3 linked regions of the Caenorhabditis elegans genome follow. The protein of the gene in region 1 purifies or fractionates together with the protein of each later gene. This does not show direct contact. Each region holds a gene or a part of one and is shown in the gene's direction. Other genes may lie near its edges.

Evidence for each region. Proteins that work in one complex are often made in the same cells at the same time.
Region 2: the proteins of symk-1 (region 1) and C16C10.4 fractionate together in Caenorhabditis elegans (co-fractionation; one large-scale study listed by BioGRID). This does not show direct contact.
Region 3: the proteins of symk-1 (region 1) and cpsf-2 fractionate together in Caenorhabditis elegans (co-fractionation; one large-scale study listed by BioGRID). This does not show direct contact.

The regions. Positions count from the first base shown.
Region 1 is NC_003283.11:8,567,021-8,575,467, forward strand, and holds the start of symk-1 (DUF3453 domain-containing protein), read left to right. Parts: upstream 1-3,290; coding exon 3,291-3,410; intron 3,411-3,552; coding exon 3,553-6,334; intron 6,335-6,381; coding exon 6,382-6,509; intron 6,510-6,781; coding exon 6,782-7,038; intron 7,039-7,085; coding exon 7,086-7,215; intron 7,216-8,041; exon of another isoform or gene 8,042-8,447. Other genes in the region: F25G6.9 (Signal recognition particle 14 kDa protein), read right to left, coding at 1-1,210, 1,288-1,499, 1,552-2,156, 2,206-2,450, 2,498-2,609, 2,652-2,805, 2,858-2,935.
Region 2 is NC_003281.10:4,169,637-4,174,472, forward strand, and holds C16C10.4 (putative histone deacetylase complex subunit SAP18), read left to right. Parts: upstream 1-1,699; 5' UTR 1,700-1,703; coding exon 1,704-1,885; intron 1,886-2,010; coding exon 2,011-2,191; intron 2,192-2,291; coding exon 2,292-2,429; 3' UTR 2,430-2,587; downstream 2,588-4,836. Other genes in the region: E3 ubiquitin ligase rnf-121, read right to left, coding at 262-413, 472-563, 614-750, 794-948, 1,001-1,180, 1,253-1,303; Argonaute protein hrde-1, read right to left, coding at 3,133-3,292, 3,342-3,532, 3,578-4,526, 4,574-4,836. UniProt on the Caenorhabditis elegans protein: Acts in transcription repression. Involved in the tethering of the SIN3 complex to core histone proteins.
Region 3 is NC_003283.11:7,177,472-7,185,107, forward strand, and holds cpsf-2 (putative cleavage and polyadenylation specificity factor subunit 2), read left to right. Parts: upstream 1-1,700; 5' UTR 1,701-1,736; coding exon 1,737-1,898; intron 1,899-1,950; coding exon 1,951-2,049; intron 2,050-2,095; coding exon 2,096-2,402; intron 2,403-2,453; coding exon 2,454-2,649; intron 2,650-2,701; coding exon 2,702-3,370; intron 3,371-3,431; coding exon 3,432-4,152; intron 4,153-4,199; coding exon 4,200-4,361; intron 4,362-5,060; coding exon 5,061-5,163; intron 5,164-5,210; coding exon 5,211-5,323; 3' UTR 5,324-5,387; downstream 5,388-7,636. Other genes in the region: lgc-39 (Ligand-Gated ion Channel), read left to right, coding at 1-129, 215-522, 769-903, 964-1,078, 1,128-1,219. UniProt on the Caenorhabditis elegans protein: CPSF plays a key role in pre-mRNA 3'-end formation, recognizing the AAUAAA signal sequence and interacting with poly(A)polymerase and other factors to bring about cleavage and poly(A) addition.

The DNA.
Region 1 (8,447 bases):
TTGCAATAAACTGACAAGCATCCGATCATCAGTGAGTCCAACATCTTCATCATTGTAAAATGCAGCAACACTTGGGTTTAAATACAGAAGACGCAAACAGAATATGGCAGTGAGTAGGGAAGACTTATTTGAATGGGTTATCAATTGATATATTGGCTCATTTTTCGCAACTCGTTTCTCCTTCAAATTTTTCGGCAAGCGGGTAGCAACAAACTCATAAACGGATAACAACCACGGATTCTGAGCCTTGGATACTTCTTCAACTTGTTCATCATTCTCGATGTTTCTAAGCTGTTGATCGATAGCATCTGCCAAAGCTGTGAGCATCATCATTATATTGTCAACTGACTCAGCCTTGTTCGTTAAACTTGTTCGCCCAGTATTGATGATCTGATCTCTTGCCCAGAGAATATCGTTACTTTTCGACTCAGTGAGCACGTGGAGCACTTCTCTGATACATATTCTCCATCCAGCCATCAATCGAATCATTTCATCGTGTGAACTTGCTGGAACAACATTTTCCAAACAGGATTGAAGGAGGCGCACAGATGCTTGAGCCCGATTGGTAGGGCCTGTGAGCTGAAGAATAGATGCAGATAATGAGAGTGAAGCTGACCAGAACCATGGTTCATTCTTATTTTCAATAATCAATTTATCTTTGAAGGTATCCACTTTTGTGAGCAACGGTGAAACATTGACATCCTGAGCACTAGTATTGTATAGTGGTCGTTGGTACGATTCAACTTCTTTGTGCAAACACAGACTCAGGAAGTCGATAAATCCATTTTGAACTTCTTTTCTTAATTTGACGAATAGAGTGGCAAATTGTGCAGGATTTATTTTCAGTCCTTTTTCGAGTTCATCCAATTCAAATGCTCCTAGCGATCTCCACGCTTCTGAAGCAACTGTGTGATTATCGTTTTGTTTGAGATTTGCTAGCTCCTCGATACAAGACATTCTCAAAATCCGAGCCTGTTCCTCGTTTTCTTCAGGGATAGTGGATGTTGATAATAACCGACAATACGTTCCTAATGATTGCTCGCAACCTCTTTGCCTGGCTCTTTTTGTAAGCATGGATCTTGCGCCTATTGTATCAAGAACTCCACACTTGATCAAATCGGTAACAGCATCCACAATGGCAGCCAACCGAGGTCCTGTACATTCTTTTAATGAATTGCTGATCTTTGAAAGAGCTTTTTCGTTGTCTTCCCTGCAAATTCTTTAGTTGAAGTGAGAAATTTCAGGAAATGTGATTTTTGTTTATTTCAGAAATGATACAAAACTTACGTTACTTTGCAGCACTCCTTCAATAAATGAAGCTCCGCATAAAATGATTCGTCGGACCCATCATCCCTCTTCAAGGCGCAGAGACTAGTCATTGGTTCGAACAACTGTGTGAATTTTGGAATGATCTCTGCTAGGCATTCCAATGATCTTACACGATCACCTTCTAAACAAGCAGTGATTTTGAGGAAGCCGAAGGCAGAACTTATGACGAACTGAAAAAAAATAATTATTTTACATTTCTTGAGAACTTTTGAATTTACTCACTCGATTAACAAATAGATCCTTGATAGTTTCGAGAAGCAGGTGCCGGTGTATTGGAAAGAATGGTTTCTGGTATAATGTAATGAAATAGAGCACGAATTGATCCGCATTTTCTGGAGCTTTTTTGACGAACAAGGCTATTAACTTGCAAATTCTTTCTTGAAGAGATGGATTCGTAGATGAATGAGTCAGAAAAACAGTAAGTGCTGGAAGAAGATGAGCTTTTTGAAGGATTCCTAGCGATTCGTGATAGTTCTCAACGTATTTGATGAAAGACGTGACTTTTCCAGTAGCTATCGTGTGATACATGAATGTTTCAAAAGTCAGATCTTGATCGGAAAAATCGGGAGCAGCAAATGAATATGTATCCCTGCATCCACTGACTCGATTCTCCGAAGCAAGTTTATGATCGGCCATTTTTGATTGCTCAACAAGTTTTACAATGACTTGTTTGTACTGACTGAGCATAACCGCGTAAGGTAAGTAGAGAATGTGATTTGGAAGATTTTTACTTTCGAGAACGGCCGGTCTGTCTCGCATCAGTTTATGACGTTGAAATGGATCAATATTATGTAGAGGATGACTGAGAAGATCTTCTGCGGAACATTCTGAAAATTTAATTATTTAGTTAGAAATCAAACAATTAAATATTTTTACCTCTCAAAAAAGATTCCGGGTCATGTTCACTCTCGTGCCCAGTTGGGTACAAATCTGGTTGATGTTTTAAGAACACATTTTGGGCCAATCCACAATTTCCTACTAGCCTTTTCTGACTATCCGATAGCAATCCAGTAAACGAAAGCACTGCGATATATTGATAAAAGTTGTATCCAAACTCGCTGCTAATGCAGATTTTAGTCAAGATTTCACTGTCAATTCTTGCTGCCACGTCCAGAAATTTTCTGAAAAATATTTACCATATACAAAGGAATACACTTTTTGAACTCACGAAAATGACGGTTTACAATGGCTTATCATCATTCCAAAAGCTCTTTGAATTCGACGTATTCTCGGTGCACGAAGTGTAAACTCTTCCCATAGAGTCTCCGGTGAGTTTGATCCTGAAAAAGTTGCTTTAGATTGCAAAAAAAAAGTACGATTACCTCTAATAAGAAGAATTGGCAAAGTGTCAATCAGAAATCTGAATAGTATGTCTTCCTCCACGACAAAGCAATCGAATAGCAGCTTCCGATATTTTTTCTCATCTTTCGCATCTAGTTCTTTGTTGATAATTCGATTGGCAAGAAAACTGAACCCCTGAAAAATGTGTGAGCATTTCTAATAATAGAAGATTTTATCTTAATATTACCTTCGCCTGAACTATGTGACAGCCAGAATGTAGTTGTTCTCTAATATCGACTAAATCCGCGGGTTCCACGGGATTCATGTCGAAAATAGAAAAAAAAATCACTGAAATTTCAGAGAATTCGCAATGAAAAAATGGTCTGAAATGCAGTTTTGGAGGTTCCAATTCATGCACGAGAAACGCGCCAACAAATCGCGAAGTGCGCCAGCAACTGACACTTGGCGCGCACTAAGTTTTTCAATTTCTATTTTTCGTTGAATTTTCTTAAATTTGAATAATTATATATTTCCGTCATTTACAGTTAGAAATTTCTTTAAATAACTTATAATTACAAGGTTGTTAATTGTTATTTATGTCATTTCATACAATTATTCTTGTCTATTGCAATTGCCGGCCCTCATTTCATTTTTTCTGAAGTTACCGTTAAATATTTCAGATGGACTACATCCAGGGATTGAACGAGGAGAATGAAACGGCGAGTGAACGAATTGGAGAGGCTTTAAAAGAAGCTCGAGATGCGGAGACTATCGAAAAGAAACTTCTTTCTCTTTCTACAGTAAGTTTTTACAAATGGTTTTCTACCAAAATTTTAATTACTTTTTGTTGTGTTTTTGGAAATAAAAAGAACAGTTTTTCAAAGAACTAAAACAAAAATCTACCGGGAAATGACTAGTCGATATTCAATTATTTAATTACAGGCAATGCATCTGCTCATCGACCCGAGTCTCTCAATCAGTATTCTCGACAATTTTCTAACCGAAATGCTGGAATTCGCAGAGCTGAACGACTCAAGGATTCTATGCCTTCTCGTCGATTTTCTTCTCAAAGCAAGCGCTAAAGACTTCACGTTATGTAACAAAACTGTCGAAAGATATAGTTTTTATCTTATTCCCAATAAGTCTATTAAACGATATGAAAGTGTTATAAAACGAGTTGTCGTTGCATCAACAAACTTATATCCGATCGTTCTTGAATTCGCAATCATGGATAAAAATGACAACGCGGAGAGCTGCTGGGATGCTTTTAATTTGCTCAAGAATCGAATTTGTATGCTGGTTAGCGATGATCACGAAGGAGTCCGAACTGTTACCGTAAAGTTTCTGGAAGCTCTTATTTTGTGTCAATCTCCAAAGCCAAGAGAGTTGGCCACTGGTAGCAACATAAGCTGGGCAAGAGAGGCAAATACTAGATTCAATAGGATTTCTCTATCAGATGTTCCACGAAGTCATAGATTCCTATCCTATCATAAAACCCAGTTGGAAGCCGAGGAGAATTTCAGTGCTTTACTAAAGCAAACAACAGTCGCGGAAGCAACATCACAAAATCTTATAACAGTAATTGAATCACTCTGTATGATTACTCGTTGTCGACCTCAATGGGAGAATGCGTTGCCACGTGTCTTCGATGTTATAAAAGCTCTTCATTCAAATGTACCACCAATGCTCAGCAAGGGACAAGTCAAATTTCTGAGAAAATCATTCAAATATAATTTGCTACGTTTTTTGAAATTGCCTGCATCTGTTCCTCTCCAGCAAAAGATCACCACAATGTTAACAAACTATCTGGGAGCTTCACCCAGAGAAGTACAACAGTCGATTCCACCTGAACTGATTCAAAAAATAGCACCGCCACGGCCACCACAGCATCCTGCAGAACCAGTTGCCAAACGTCCCAAGATTCAAAATCAAATATTCGAAGATGATGATGATGACGATGACGAAGCAGGACCATCCACTAGCACTGTAAATGCAAAGGATGCGAGAACTGAAGCCATCGATATGACAGCCAAATTTATTATGGAATGCCTGAATCATGAAACTGTCATGAATCTTGTCAAGATCTCACTCTACACTCTACCGTCAGAAATGCCAGCTGCATTCGCATCATCATACACACCAATAGCAAACGCTGGAACAGAACCGAATCGTCAAGAATTATCAGAACTAATGGCTGTTCAAATGACGAACAAAGAAATTGGACCGGGATATGAGTGGTTGCAGCAACAAAGGAAAAAAGAATATGAAGCAAGGAATAAGGCAAGAAGTGAAGGAATGGCAATCGCCCAAACACCAATCCACGAACCGAATATGAGCAATCGCGTTCCAGCCCAGATTGTCAAACAGTCACTTCAAGAAATTAACACTCTTCCGGTCATTCAAAAAGCGAAAAAGGCGTTCAACTTGGTAGAAGAAGCCGTTGTATTTGACGATAAAGAAGCTGCGGAGATGTTTGAATTAGCTTATGAATCAGTTCTTCAAGCAGAACGGCGAGTTGTTGCTGGTGGAGCAAGGTTGATGTATCAGAAATTAGTTGTCCGGCTGACGACTAGATTCTGGGAAGATTGTACTCCATTTGAAGAAAAGTTGATAGAATTCGTTTTGGCTGATCATAAAAAGAGAAATGATTTGGCGCTTCTATGGCTCTGCGAACTTTACGCACAATATCAAGGCTACTCGAACTGTGCTCTCTTCATGAAGGAAATGATCGCTGGACAAGAAGGACTTACCCAAGCACAAAGATTGGATCGATATGATCAAGCAATGTGCAAGATGCTTGACGCAATGTTGGAAAGAAATATGGAAAAAGAAGCTCTCTTTTATAAAGTTCTACTAGAAACACCACTTTTGACTCCGAATGCAATTGAAAGATTGAAGCAAGTGTGTTTGGCTAAAGAAAATGAGCATGGAATGGCGATGCTCCGTGAATTGATCATGACACGAAATCGACAACGTCCGCAACTTTTGCAATTCCTTTTTGGCCTGTTTTTCATGGAAAGACCGGAACTTCGTAGTTCATGCCTAGAAGTTGTCAAGGAACTGTGTTATCTTCCATTTATCAGAAGCTCCTTGAGTGATCAGGCTAGAATGCAAATTCATGATTGTCTACAAGAAAGTCCTCCAATGTACATGCGAAGTTCTGAGGATTCTGATCAATGGACTGATGAAATGTACAAGAACTCGTTGGCTGTATACTCTACTCTGATGCCATCTGACCCATTACTTCTGATCCCGTTAGCTTCAGTCTACGCACAATCTACCAATGTCTTCAAGCGAGTTGTACTCCGCTCATTGGAACCTGTATTCCGTCAATTGAGTCAAGAAATGGTAATATCATTAATAGAAGATTGTCCATATGGTGCTGAAACTCTTGTTGCTCGTTTAGTCGTTCTTCTAACTGAAAGAATCACGCCGTCAACTGATTTAATTCAAAAACTGAAAATTCTTCACGACGAACGAAAAATGGATATTCGTGCTCTTCTACCAATCATAGGAGGACTTGAACGAGAAGAAGTTGTCAGACTTATTCCAACATTCATTTTCCGTGCTGAATATCAAAAGTCAGTGAATGTCCTATTCCGAAAGTTATATACCGTCCGTGATCCACAAACCGGAAATCTCGTGTTCGATCCAATTGAAGTTATCAAAGAGTATCACAAGATTGAGCCCAAAAATGATAATGAAGCTGAATTACTTGTTAACAGTAAGTTATACCATTTTAAACAGTAACCTTAAAAAATCATTTTTCAGATCTCGAGTTCCTTTTCGATCCAGCATTGTTGAAGCCAGATACCGCATCCCAAGCTATCGAAGCTGTTTTCAAATGGGAAAATGTTCCATTTCTATTTCTACACTCTCTTTATACTCTTTTTCATAAGGTGAGTATTATTTTGTTTTCGTTTGGCTATATTTCCAGTAAATCAGTATATTTTTTTCTGGAAATACGAAAAATCAAAAAGAAAATGTTCAGAAAGGTGACTTTATAATTCAGTTTTTATAAAATTTCGTTTATGCTAATGAAAAAACAAAAAGAAAAAAATGACCAATATTTTAACCTATTTTTTCTCGAGAAAATCGGAAAAAACGAAAAAAAAAATTTTAAAGTAATAATCGAAAAACAACACCCTTGATGAATTTTTCCTATTTTCAGTTCAAAACATTCGAATCGTTCGTCGCAAATCTGTTCTACAAAGTAACTGAAAAGAAGATGTATCAACAATCGGATCGATGGAAGCAGGCATTTTTCAAATGTATCAAAGAATTGAAAACCAAAGCGTATCCAGCGGTTATCACATTTTTGAGTTTTGAAGAATACGAAGAGCTAAAGGAAGTTTTAGGAGATGGAATTGTCGCAGAATTCAAAATAATTTATTCAACACTTGCAACACAACAGCAGAAGAATATGGAGTAAGTTTTCATGAAAATTAGATAATTCTTAATTGTAATAATTTCAGCGAGAAAATCAAAGAGGAGTTGCATGATAAAGAACGAGAAAATCGTGAACGAGATAAGCGACTTCGAAGAGAAGAGAAAAAGGAAAAGGAAAGAGAAAAGGAACGAACTCGCGAAAGTGGAAAGGAAAGAGTAAGTTGGCCTTTAAAAACTGAAACTCCTCTTTATTTTGTCAAATTTTAAATCTCTTAAAAAATGTTAACCTTTATTAGATTTTTTTGCTTTACTATACTCAAGATGTGCCCAAATTTTGTAATGAAACGTCCTAAAAATTTCTCAAATTTTTTTTATTTCTAAAAAAGCTAATTTTAGCTAAAAACCTCCAATTTTGTCAATTTTTCTGTTTTGAAGCGGTCGAAAACGGTGCTGAATCCAAAGTTTTTCTTCGAAACCGAAAAAATCGAAAACACAAAAAATTTTGTAATTTTATTTTCAAAAAAGATTTAAGTTTTTGTTCAAAAGTGCACCCTAGTTGTATTTTGGAGTGTATTTTTTTGGAAAACGTATGAAGTTAAAAATTATGAGTTTTAAAGTTGAATTGTCGTTTTTTTTTTCTCGCATATTTTTCGAAAAAAAAACGAAAATCAAATTTGTCGCAAAAAAACACAAAAAAAAAGGCAAATGCTCTTTTACTACCTCATCTTTTACTACGTTGCTCTTTTACTACGGTTTACTCTTTTACTACGGCCGTATTTTTTACTACGTTTTCCAATTTCGATCTTTTGCTACAATTTGTATCTTTTACTACGGCCGTATTTTTTACTACGTTTTCCAATTTCGATCTTTTACTACAATTTGTATCTTTTACTACGGCCGTATTTTTTACTACGTTTTCCAATTTCGATCTTTTACTACAATTTGTATCTTTTACTACGGCCGTATTTTTTACTACGTTTTCCAATTTCGATCTTTTACTACAATTTGTATCTTTTACTACGGCCGTATTTTTTACTACGTTTTCCAATTTCGATCTTTTACTACAATTTGTATCTTTTACTACGGCCGTATTTTTTACTACGTTTTCCAATTTCGATCTTTTGCTACAATTTGTATCTTTTACTACGGTAACTTTTTTTACTACGTTTTCCAATTTCGATCTTTTGCTACAGTTTGTATCTTTTACTACGATTAACGATTTTTTACGGCCTAATGAAAAAAAAAGAATATCAAAAGTTGGAATTTGAAAGTTACCTTGTAGCAGATTTCAGGTATAATTACAATTTCATTCTGAAGTCAACATGAAAGTTTCATAGCGGTGTTCTTTTCCAACTTTTGATATATACTACTGTCTGAGCGGTTTTTAACTGAATTCGACGAGATCATAAGGGGAAATTAAACTTTATGAAAAAAGCAAAAATTTGTTC
Region 2 (4,836 bases), on another chromosome or scaffold:
AAAAATTTCTCGGAGGTCTTGATTTTATTTTTCTGTGTAACTTTTATTCGTATATTTGAATTTTTAATTATCAAATAAAAAATTTCACGAAAAACTGTGGAAAAATCGATGAAAATTCGTTCAAAAGCTTCATAATATCAGTTTTTAAAAATTTGGTGCTTTCTGGTGATTCTCGAAGAAAACTGGAAAACTACTTATTAATTCTTTTTTTTAATTAAAAAAAGTGAAAATTCCAAAAATCTGCTGAACTTCTCCACTCACTTATACAATTTTTCATCTTCATCTTCAACCATTTTCGTTGTAACCACAGCATCTGCATCATGAACATGTTCCGAATCATCAAGACGTCCTCCACAAACAGCACAGACACCGTCTTCTAGATGCTTTTTAGGAAGTCCTTCAGGAGTGTAATACTGAAAAATTGGAATTATATTGATTATTTTTCGGCAGCAGGTGAAAAATGTATTTTACCCCGATTCTCGACGCCATTCTCGCCGTGCAAATGTGAGCAAAATCCCGGCCGAGCACTCCGTAATACACACCATAGAACATGAAAAGGATGCCTGGAAGCTTGAAAATTAGATTTTTTCAAAATTTTTCCAAAATTTCTCACCGGCATCCATTAGTGTTGGCTGTGAAACTCCGAATAAAACATGAAATCCTAATAAAGCTCCCATCATGATCAAATATCCAACAACTCCGAGTACATAACTCAGTTTATGCAAAAATAGAAACCATTTGTAGACGAATCTTAAATTATTTCGTTTAATTCGTCTTTTTTATTCTTAAAAACCTTGGTGTTCCTCCACTGATATGTTGAGCCGAGGCTTTCAACCAAATAAAAGCTGAAAAAATGCAGAAAACAAGCCACGTGGCCAGGAATCGATACCAGGATCGGTTGAAACAAACATAAACTGGAATTGTGAGCATTCCTATTAATGTACACATCTGTAAATGTTTGAATATTAAATAAATGTTTAAAATTAATAAAATTAAATACCTGATAAGATTTAAAATGCTTCCTCTTCCAGGTGACCAGAAAAATCTGTCCAACGATGACAGAAATCATGAAAATAACCATCATTTCCATGTGCATCGCTTCGTGTCCTTTATGCTTTTCGTGCATTTTTCGGTGCTCCTCTGCCCATTGTTCTTCTTCTGTTAGCTCGTGTGGAGGGGGCTGAAAATAAAAATTTATAATAGAAATCATTTTACTTTTAATTAAACTATTTTAAAATCAATAAATACTTACCATTCCTTCCTGAACTTCATTCTGCAGCCTAATTGCCCCATGTTGGCCCATTCTATGGCCTGAAAAAATAGAAATTATTTTGGAAAACGTTATTGATTTTTCGAGAAGGTAAAGCGGACTCCCGCGTGGAAAGTGACCAATTTTAAAAATTGAACGAAAAAAACACTTTAAATTCAATAATTGATAAAAATAGTTGAGTTGGTTAACTTTGCGACAAGGAAATGTCGGAGAAAGATTTGCGGTGAAAATCGAAATAAAATAGGAGAATGTCATCTGCGCGCGGCATATCTGCAAATCTTGTGTGCCAGGGTTGCAAAGAACGCTCCGCCCACAAACATTCGAATGCAAATTTTGGCGTTTTGCTTCTTTTTTCTCTTTTTTCTGTATAACCAAACAAATATATTTTATATTATCCCTTTTTAGAGCAAATTTATCTTTTTTTTTCAGAAAAATGAGCAACGGTCAACTCGTGTCTCAGGTGACAGTTGGTCACGATAAACCATTAGATCGTGAGAAAGTATGTCCGATGCTTCTTCGCGTCTTCGTTGCTAATAATCGTCATAATCCGATGAGCGAGTACAATAGTAGAAATGGAGGATCTGTTCCACCCAGCGAACTTCAAATGCATACTTGGTACGCGGTAGAAATAGAAAAATTAGTACTATTTGGCCGAAATTATAGAACTTTTGTCTAATATTTTCAATAATACATTCAAACTTGTAAGTTTGGTTAACCTGAAGTATTTTTTTTATTTTCAGGATGGACTGTTCTCTGCGTGAATTGACCAGTCTAATCAAAGAAGTGAATCCGGACGCTAGAAGAAAGGGCACCACATTCGATTTCGCTATTGTGCAGGCAGACCGCGGCTCGCCAAGATACATTCTACGCGATGTGGGAAACACGACGAATGGAGAGCGTGGCATTGATGACAACAAAACTGTATGTGATTTTTGACACCACGGAACCATTAGAATTTTATTTGAATTCGGAAATAATATCTCCAATATTAAATTCGTTTTGATTGAACTTTGTTTTTCAGCTACAACAATGCAAATTCGAAGTCGGTGATTTCGTCGACGTCGCGATTTCCTTGCCAAGTCAAGGACGTCGTTTCAATAACCGGGAGCAGGGAGACCGTTTCGATCATCGTCAACGCCAACGTAGTCCGATTCGCTAGACGCCTAACTGTGTGTTAAAATTCAATGATACTCTTCTGTATTTATTAATGTGTCGATTCTTTTTTTTATAACGTGCAATGTAATATTCTGCGTAAATCATGTTTTCCTTTACAATTGTTCAACATACTTAACAATTTACAACAAAGTTTACTTTCACATTTACTGGTCAAAATTGCAAGCTATTTAATTTTAAAAAAGTTTTGTTTTGTGATTATGCAAAAATCGGAAAAATGATCGCGATCAAACTGCTTTCAGCGAAAACTAAAATTTCTTCTCGAATAATTTATTGCTTAATAAATGATAATGGACGGGGGGTAGAGCAAGTAAGATTATTGAAAATCGAAATTTCCAAAAACGTTCTAATTGGAAGTTTCTTTCGCCTTCGAAAACTCCTAATAAGAAAGTTGGAGGAAATTCGCACAGAAAAAAAGGCAGGTAAAACAGGAGTATCTACTATTCAAACTATGTGTCAATGTACTCTACTCTAGATTAAATTACAAAAGGATTCTTAGTTGAAATTATAAAAACATAAAGGGGAATACGATACAATTATGGGGAAAAATGTAATAAAGAATGTTCAGAAAAACAAAAGCATGGGAATTTAAGTACTTGTATAGAGAGTAGGTATAGGGTAGTGGATAAAAAATGTTGGTAATATGTAAAGGGGGTGAATACGTGACAATAAAAGAGAGAATCTCGGGATTACGCCCAGAAGTTTCGCTTCGGAATGGTCATTCCGTTCATTGCAACGGACATCTCATCAACAATGGCTGCCGCCAGTTCTTCTCGCATGTCTTCGTTGATGAGTTCCGAATGGTCTTTGATGATGCGGTTCTCAACTGCTTGCAAATTCACGTAACGCCTGGAAACATTTGTTTTTGATAAAGATTTTTAGGAAAATAAACTATTACTGATGAATTTTGTAATTGTTGCGTCCTCGTTTAGCCAGATTTTCTGCCGCATAAAGAACATCTGGAACCGATGGTGGCTGGTAGGACACTTGATGACCGAATGCGCGGAAGTACGTCAAGTGCATGAGCTCGTTTTTAGACCATTTGGCATCATTGACAAGGATCGTGTACTTGCACGGACGAACGGTACCCTAAAAGAAACTTTCATTTAATAAATTAACTAATGAACAACTTACAATAAGCGGCGTCTGTGAAGACAAAATGAACTCGTCGTATCCGTAGGATGTCAGGACATTCTCGACACATGTTCCAGATGGGATGTTCTGATCCGTCGCTCTGTTGCCACTGATACATGATGGAAAAACGCGAGCATGTGAAGCTCTTTGTGCGATGATCACCACGAGATGTGGACGGTATCCGGGCTGAATCTTGTCAAATGTTCGTCGCATCTCTTCGACTTCTTCCTTAACACGATTGAAGTTTCCTTCTCCAGCACCAACACGATAGATGACGATTCTTGTTGGGAGTGTCTTCGAATGCTCCTTGTACGATCTGACACACTTTGGGAAGAATTCATCAAGTTTTTGAAGTTTGTACTCCTTTTGGGTTTGAAGGTATGTGAAGCCTCCGAGCTGCGTCGAGTTGGTCAGGGAATACGAGACTCCAACAACTGATGGCTCACCATCCATTTGTGATCTACTGCGATCGAACAAAGTGCGTGATGCGCCATGAGAAATCTCGAATCCGATGAATTGTACATGTTCGAGAAGTTTCTTTCTCAATGTTTCATTGTTTGAGCACACTGCTTTTCCACGCACAGCATTCGGGATCTCGACGAAGAAGTTGGTTCCACCACACTTGAGGTTGAACTTTCTCATGACGTTGTCAATCGTTTGGCGTCCACCTTGACCTCCCATCATTTTATCGACAGTCTGTTGACACAATTGGATTGTTTGCAGGCCAATCGATTCCTCAAAGTATTTGAGTATGTCGTGAACATCCGGCTTCTTCTCCCTTGCTATTCCAACAAGAATGTCCACTCTATCATCGAGCCATTTCTTCATCAGATTTTGGATAGCAACGGAATCACTGGAGTTCAATTCACGGATGGACCAATCTCGCGAGTCCTTTTCGACCGTGATTCCATTGTCACGACAGAAATTGGACAGCTTGTCGCAGAAATCTCTGAAAATAGAATATTATAAAGCAGAAGAAAACAACGTTCGACTTACTCGGCCTGTCTCATTTGGATACAGTTGTCAAAGACAACAATACCAATTTTTCTGATCCGTGCTGGTTCGACAAACTTGTCCTGTGTGCGGAACGCTGGACGGCTCATGTCAGGCATGTAAGTCTGGCCCTTGAACTTGATTTGAGCTGGTGGGAGGAGCTTCGCAGTCATTTGGATTGGCTCAGTCGACATCAGTTTGATTCCGAAAGCATCCATGTACTTATTTTGTTCAAGCTTCAAGTTGTCGCGGAGAATATCTTGAAC
Region 3 (7,636 bases), 1.4 Mb from region 1:
AAAGATTTGTAAAATGCGCCGGACCGTACCCAATGTTTCGAGGTGAAGCTGCTTGGAGCTGCATCCAAGGATATATTGTTATGAAACGACTTGTACTATTCCACATAATTCAAACATACATTCCCACAGGTAATCTTTGAGATTTTGGAAGCAATTTCCAATTTTCTAGAAGACCAACTAATAAAAATAATTGATTCTTTTCAAAAAAAAACAGGAATGCTCGTCTCCATTTCATGGATGTCATTCTGGTTGGACCCGCGTGCCAGTCCAGCACGTATCTCACTTACAATCACCTCATTACTCACTTTGACGACGATGAGCAACGGAGCAAGACAGGATTTGCCGCAGGTCTCCTATATCAAAGCATTGGATATATGGTTGACATTCTCGCAAGCGTTGATCTTTTTGGTATTGTTGGAATATTCGTTTGTTTCGTATTATATGACAAAAAGGACTACGGATTGTTCACATCGGAATATGTTCTATGAGGAAAGAGTACAGGAATGCAAAAGGGAGGAGAAGGTCAGATATCGGGCTTGTTTAGGCTTCATCTTACATGTAATAGTAGAATAGCTCCTAAAGGATAATCTTGTTGGCCTAGGCTTAGACTTAGATTTAGGCTCAGGCTTTTGGGCTTAGGTCCTATATTTTGCAAAGATTTAAGGTTAAGCTTCAGTTAGGCTTTCAATTAGACTTTGGAATTTTTTTGGCTTAGGTTCAGCTTAACTTTTTTTTTAAAGTTTTTTCCTGACTCCAAAACTATTTCAGGCTCGAAAGTCGATTGTTAATAACAACAAGCCAGTAATTGCGAATAATACCGAGGGATCCGACCTGAATCGGAATAAAAAATCTCAGCAATTTTCTTTGACTCATGGAATATCCGCATGCCTTAATGAATCATCTGTAAGTTTAATTTATTAAAGTCACACGTATTCATGTATCATACATGTACATAATTTATAGGCGCTGATGTCAGTCACTCCGGTTCCTTCTCGATTATTCACCAAATTTGACACCAACAAACCATGTGCTCGATGCTCGGAGAAAAACGAACGAATAGCATTTAAAATTGACGAATGTTGGTTTAAGTATATCTACTTTTGATTTTCAAATTAGTACAATTTCAGATAGTCGATGGTTGTTTCCAACAGTTTTTTCGCTATTTTGTGTTTCCTACTGGCTCTACTTCACTTGGCGATCATCTGCTTCCGAAGGCTGACTGAGAAACTGTGTTATGTGTATCAACAGCAATAATTCCTCAATGTTATGTGTCTTTATGATAGAAGAACAATTGAAATAAATATATTAAATATAACATTTGAAACTATTTTTCTTCTGTGTTCCTACTCATAAGATTTTAATAGTATAATATAGTGTATTTTCATAAACGGTCGAAAAACTGATATTGATAGAAATCCATTAACTTCCAAAAAGGTCGTGTTCTTTTTTTCGAAAAAATAAACCGAAAACATTTTCGGTTTCGTCACGTAAATTTAGTGAGATCCTCGCAGGTATTTTGGAACTTGAACAAAAATGTACTGTGTATAAATTGTCGTCAATTGTGATGCATACACACATCCGTGTTTGCACACTCAGTGGAAAACTCAAAAATATTTTTTTGCGGTCTCCTGCGAAAATTATTTGTTTTATGCTTCAAAAAGCTGTTATTTTATCGCAATTTTTTTTTTTAATTTGAATATTTTCAGAACAGCGGGAAAACCTAAAAGACACATCAAATGACCTCCATTATCAAATTGAAAGTGTTTTCCGGTGCAAAAGACGAAGGACCTCTTTGTTACCTTTTACAAGTGGATGGTGATTATATACTATTGGATTGTGGTTGGGATGAGCGATTCGGGTTACAATATTTTGAAGAATTAAAACCTTTTATTCCCAAAGTAAGCTCATATATATTCAACTTTCTAAATTCTCAACATATAATTTTTCTAGATCAGTGCAGTTCTCATATCTCATCCAGATCCTCTCCATCTTGGCGGACTACCATATTTAGTTTCAAAATGTGGTTTAACAGCTCCTGTCTACGCGACGGTTTGTTTAATTTACATTTTTCTAATTAATTAAAATATCGTTCTAGGTGCCGGTATATAAAATGGGTCAAATGTTCATCTACGATATGGTTTACAGTCATTTGGATGTAGAAGAATTTGAGCATTATACTCTCGATGATGTAGATACAGCTTTCGAAAAAGTCGAGCAAGTGAAATATAATCAGACAGTCGTTTTAAAAGGAGATTCTGGAGTTCATTTCACAGCATTACCTGCCGGGCACATGTTAGGAGGATCCATTTGGAGAATTTGTCGAGTGACTGGAGAAGATATTGTTTATTGTGTTGATTTCAATCATAAAAAAGAACGACATCTTAATGGATGCTCATTTGATAGTATGTTAATTCTTTTAAATATTCAGATAAATTTCATATTTATATTTCCAGATTTCAACCGACCACATTTACTAATTACCGGAGCTCATCACATTTCACTTCCGCAAATGCGACGAAAAGATCGAGACGAGCAGTTGGTGACGAAAATTTTACGAACAGTACGTCAAAAAGGAGATTGTATGATTGTAATCGATACAGCTGGAAGAGTTCTCGAGCTGGCGCATCTTTTAGATCAATTATGGTCCAAGTAAGTTATTCTTTTAATTTGAAATAAAAATTATTAAAAATAAAAATTTCAGCGCTGATGCAGGTCTATCCACGTATAATCTCGTCATGATGTCACATGTAGCATCTTCAGTTGTTCAATTCGCAAAATCTCAATTAGAATGGATGAATGAGAAGCTTTTCAAATATGATTCCAGCTCAGCCCGTTACAATCCTTTCACACTGAAACATGTCACACTCTGTCATTCACATCAGGAATTGATGAGGGTTAGATCTCCGAAAGTTGTGTTGTGCAGTAGTCAGGATATGGAATCAGGATTTTCTAGAGAATTATTCCTCGATTGGTGTTCTGATCCAAGAAACGGTGTGATTTTAACGGCACGTCCAGCTTCATTCACTCTTGCTGCAAAGCTTGTCAATATGGCTGAAAGAGCAAATGATGGTGTTCTGAAACACGAAGATCGATTGATTAGTTTAGTTGTGAAGAAGAGAGTTGCACTGGAAGGAGAAGAACTTTTGGAATATAAACGAAGAAAAGCTGAAAGAGATGCAGAAGAAACTAGACTTCGAATGGAAAGAGCTAGACGACAGGCACAGGCAAATGAGAGTGATGACAGTGATGATGATGATATTGCTGCTCCAATTGTTCCAAGGCATTCGGAAAAAGATTTCCGTTCGTTTGATGGCTCGGAAAATGATGCGCATACTTTTGATATTATGGCGAAATGGGATAATCAACAAAAGTTTGTTTTATAAAAGTTTTATACGTTTGATTTGTCTTTAATTTAATTTTTTAATTTTCAGAGCATCATTCTTCAAGACAACTAAAAAATCATTTCCAATGTTTCCTTATATCGAAGAAAAAGTCAAGTGGGATGATTATGGAGAAGTTATTAAACCAGAAGACTACACTGTGATTTCAAAAATTGATTTACGGAAAGGACAAAATAAAGATGAACCGGTAGTTGTGAAGAAACGAGAAGAAGAAGAAGAAGTTTATAATCCGAACGATCATGTTGAAGAAATGCCGACGAAATGCGTCGAATTTAAGAATCGTGTCGAAGTTTCGTGCCGAATTGAATTTATAGAATATGAGGGAATATCTGATGGTGAATCGACAAAGAAACTTCTTGCTGGACTACTTCCTCGGCAGATTATCGTAGTTCATGGATCACGAGACGATACTCGTGATCTTGTTGCTTATTTTGCCGATAGCGGCTTTGATACAACAATGTTGAAAGCTCCGGAAGCCGGAGCACTTGTAGATGCCTCAGTTGAATCATTCATTTATCAAGTGGCTCTTAGTGATGCTCTTTTAGCTGATATTCAGTTCAAGGAGGTTTCCGAAGGAAATAGTCTTGCGTGGATCGATGCTAGAGTTATGGAAAAAGAAGCCATCGATAATATGCTAGCTGTAGGAACATCTAATCTCATGATCGATGATAAAAATCGAGAGGAAGACGTCAATGATCAAGAAGAAAACGGAGCCACGGAGGGTGAAGGAAATGCCGAACCAATGGAAATTGTAAGCTGAAAATATTTAAAACTATTTCAAAACATTTGGAATTTCAGGGTGAAAACGGTTCACAGGAGTCGCTGGCGATATCTGAAAGTGGAAAAGAGGTTGAAAATGGGCACACAAATGATAGTCGAACGAAAAAGGGAACAAAAGGAAAAATACGTGGAAATCTCATTCTCGATCCTCTACCGAAACGGCTAATTCCTATTCACCAGGTAAATTATAAAAATGATTTAGATTTTGTTTTAAATTAACCATTTTTTTATTTGAAAAAATGTTATTTCCACTATTATTACCACCTTTCAGCGCAATTTTTGAAAAAAAGAAGGTAGAAACATGGCCGTAACGTTCGAATCTAGATCGAACTGTTAGAAAAATTGTACAATTTTTCTGAATTTTTGAAAATGTTTTTTTTTTGTTGCAATATTGCAAAAGTATGTTGCTGCACAATAAAAAAAATTTTAGCTGAAAAAAAATCTGAAAATTTTCCAGAAAACACGAAAATTCCATTTGCGCGGGAATTAAAAAAACATTTTGATTAATTTTTGCAAAATTGAAAAAGTTATTCATGCAAATTTTTTATAGTGATATTCGGATATAACTCCCAATTTTCAATGTATTTTTAAAAACAAAATCTAAGAACCCTCACATGGTCATTTAATGTTTCCGGCGAGAAAATATCAATATTCTCTAAAAATAGTCACATTGTTTCCATCAATTTTCAAAAATGTCACTAATCCGGCCGTTTATTACGCACAAACTTTTCACCACGCAATCATACTAAGTGCTCCATTTGATAACAATAATATTAATTGTTCTGTGCATTTCTCTAGTTTGACGTCAGAGAGAACCTGATCTTTGAAAAATTTTTAAAAATCAAAAAACCATTTTATAGATTCAACTTTTTGTTTCAGGCTGTCTTTGTCAACGATCCGAAACTTTCCGACTTCAAAAACCTTCTCACAGACAAAGGGTACAAGGCAGAATTTCTCAGCGGAACTCTTCTTATCAACGGAGGTAGTCACAACTTGGCACACTGCCAACCGCACAATATTATTTTACAGGAAATTGTTCGATTCGTCGTAATGATACTGGAGTCTTCCAAATGGAAGGTGCTTTCACCAAAGACTACTACAAACTTCGTCGTCTCTTCTATGATCAGTTCGCTGTCTTGTAAAATGATCTCATATACTTTTTCAAATTCCACAAAATTCTCAATAAAAAAATTTTTTTTCCAAGAAGTTTTGACTTCTTTCAGTAGCTAGGTCGCCGCATTCCATTTCAGATAAAACCGCGAGAAATTCGCCTCCAGTTGTATGAATTTGTTGGAAATTCGGGAGAATGTCAAGGAAACCGTGCTCATAAAAAATCGACGAGCACACGCCGACTTTCCCCCTTGTTTTCAGAAATGTAGAGCATGTGATAAACAATTGAAATCAATCACAAACAGACACCATTGTACTATTTTTCATTGTTTTCAGGTGACGTGAACAGGCAAAAATAAGTCGATTATTTATATCATCATGTTTTTTGTAAACATTTGAGGCTCGGCGGAAGTTTTTTTTTTAAATTTTTTTTTGGAAGATCAAAAAGTCGAAGCATTTTTTGTTCGACATTTCAAATGTATACGGATTCTCATGGGAGCTCAATGAGCCGATTCTAATTTTTCTGATAAGAACCATCTAATCGTTTTCGTAGACTGATTACGAGTTCGTGGTAATGTCTAAAAATAGGATTTTGCACCGGAAAAGACACCTTTTTACATACATGAGTTTTGATCTTTTTTCTGTTATTACGGGAAAACACAAATTTCTGAGAATGCGTATTGCACAACATATTAGACGCGCAAGATATCTCACAGCAAAAACTACAGTAACCCTTTAAATGAGTACTGTAGCGCTTGATTTTTGAAATGAATCGATATAATATTAAAATTAAAAAGAGGCAAATTGAATATCGATGTCACTAATCGAAAAGAATAATCTATTTCAAAAATCTAGCCCGTGAATCGACACAAGCGTTACAGTACTCATTTAAAGGGTTACTGTAGTTTTCGCTACGAGATATTTTGCGCGGCAAATATGTTGCGAAATACGCATTTTCAAAAGTTTTTGTTATCGTAACAAAAACGGGTTTAAATCAGTTTTCAAAGTAATATTATCACAAACACACTTATTTTTAATGAGAAGTACTAATTTGAATAGGAACAGAGAAATGGGAAGAAAACAAAAAAATATTATTATCTATTTGTTTAAGGATAACATTATGGGGGTATTACCTTTTTTTTTTCATTTTTATTTCAGAATTAGATTCAAGACTATTGTTCTGTTTTTTATTCAATTTTTAAACTTGAACCGTGCTTTAGGATGGGTCTCGGCACGAGAAGCAACTCGTAGAAAAGCGAGAACTGGAACCCCGAAGACTTTTGTTTAACAGTTTGCAGTTCAGCCTTCTTACTGTCTTGAGAACTCTCATATTGACTCAATTCCAAACAAAGTTGCCTGCACATGTTCAGGTGTAAAATGTTAGCGTAGATCATATTTGAATATATTTACATGCAATTTTTTAAATAACTTTGTTGTGATTGTTTGCAAGAGTGGCCATGAGTACAAAAGGATCGATAGTAGCTATTTGAGACTATTTTTAACTGGATTTTTTAACTGGTTTATTTATGAAAACTATTGTGTTCGTTGTCTTGTGTTTTTTTGAATGTGAGTTTGTATAAGGTTACTGTACTTTGATTGAATAATGGTCCATAATTAGTTTTATAACCTCATGGGAATTTCACTAAATCAGAGCATCTCAATTATTACAAAAGTTGAATGTAGTTGTAGCCGGTTTAGGTATGCACAGGAGTTTCTAATGTTTCTTTGCCACAACTAACTTTATTAATATTCATATCTAGATACCAAATCTGGGAGTTCATATGTTTTTGACTCAGGTTTTTAGAGGAAAAGATCTGCAAACATTTTGCAACTTTGTGAAAGTTTAGTTAAGCTAGAACCAATATTTTGTATGTTAAAAGTGTTCTTATTAGTTTGTGACATATGCTTTTTTGAAATTTTTGAAAAACCACCCAAAAACGCTTAAACTTTTGTCCGACATTTCATGAATATTTTGAGTGTACTTTGCTCAAAAGTGCGGTAGTTTCAGTAGAACAAACCAGTTCAAGGAAATGTTTGTCACTGAAAAGCGAATCATTTTACGTGACTCCACAGTAAACTACCCGGTCGGAAATTTTCGTGGAATTTTTTATTATTATTTATGAATTCACATCATTTTTAATATTCGATTACTTCAAGATTTAATCCGGGACCAATTTAATCGTTTCCCTACTTTTTCGGTATGTTCGCTCTTTTGTCTTCTTAAGTTTTGTTGAAAACTCTTACTTTTTCAGTAACGATAAGAGCTACTTCACACTCGCCACCATTCTCCTCCCATTCGAGACGACAGACTAAAACAAAGGTCTATAAAAAGAAACGATAGTGGT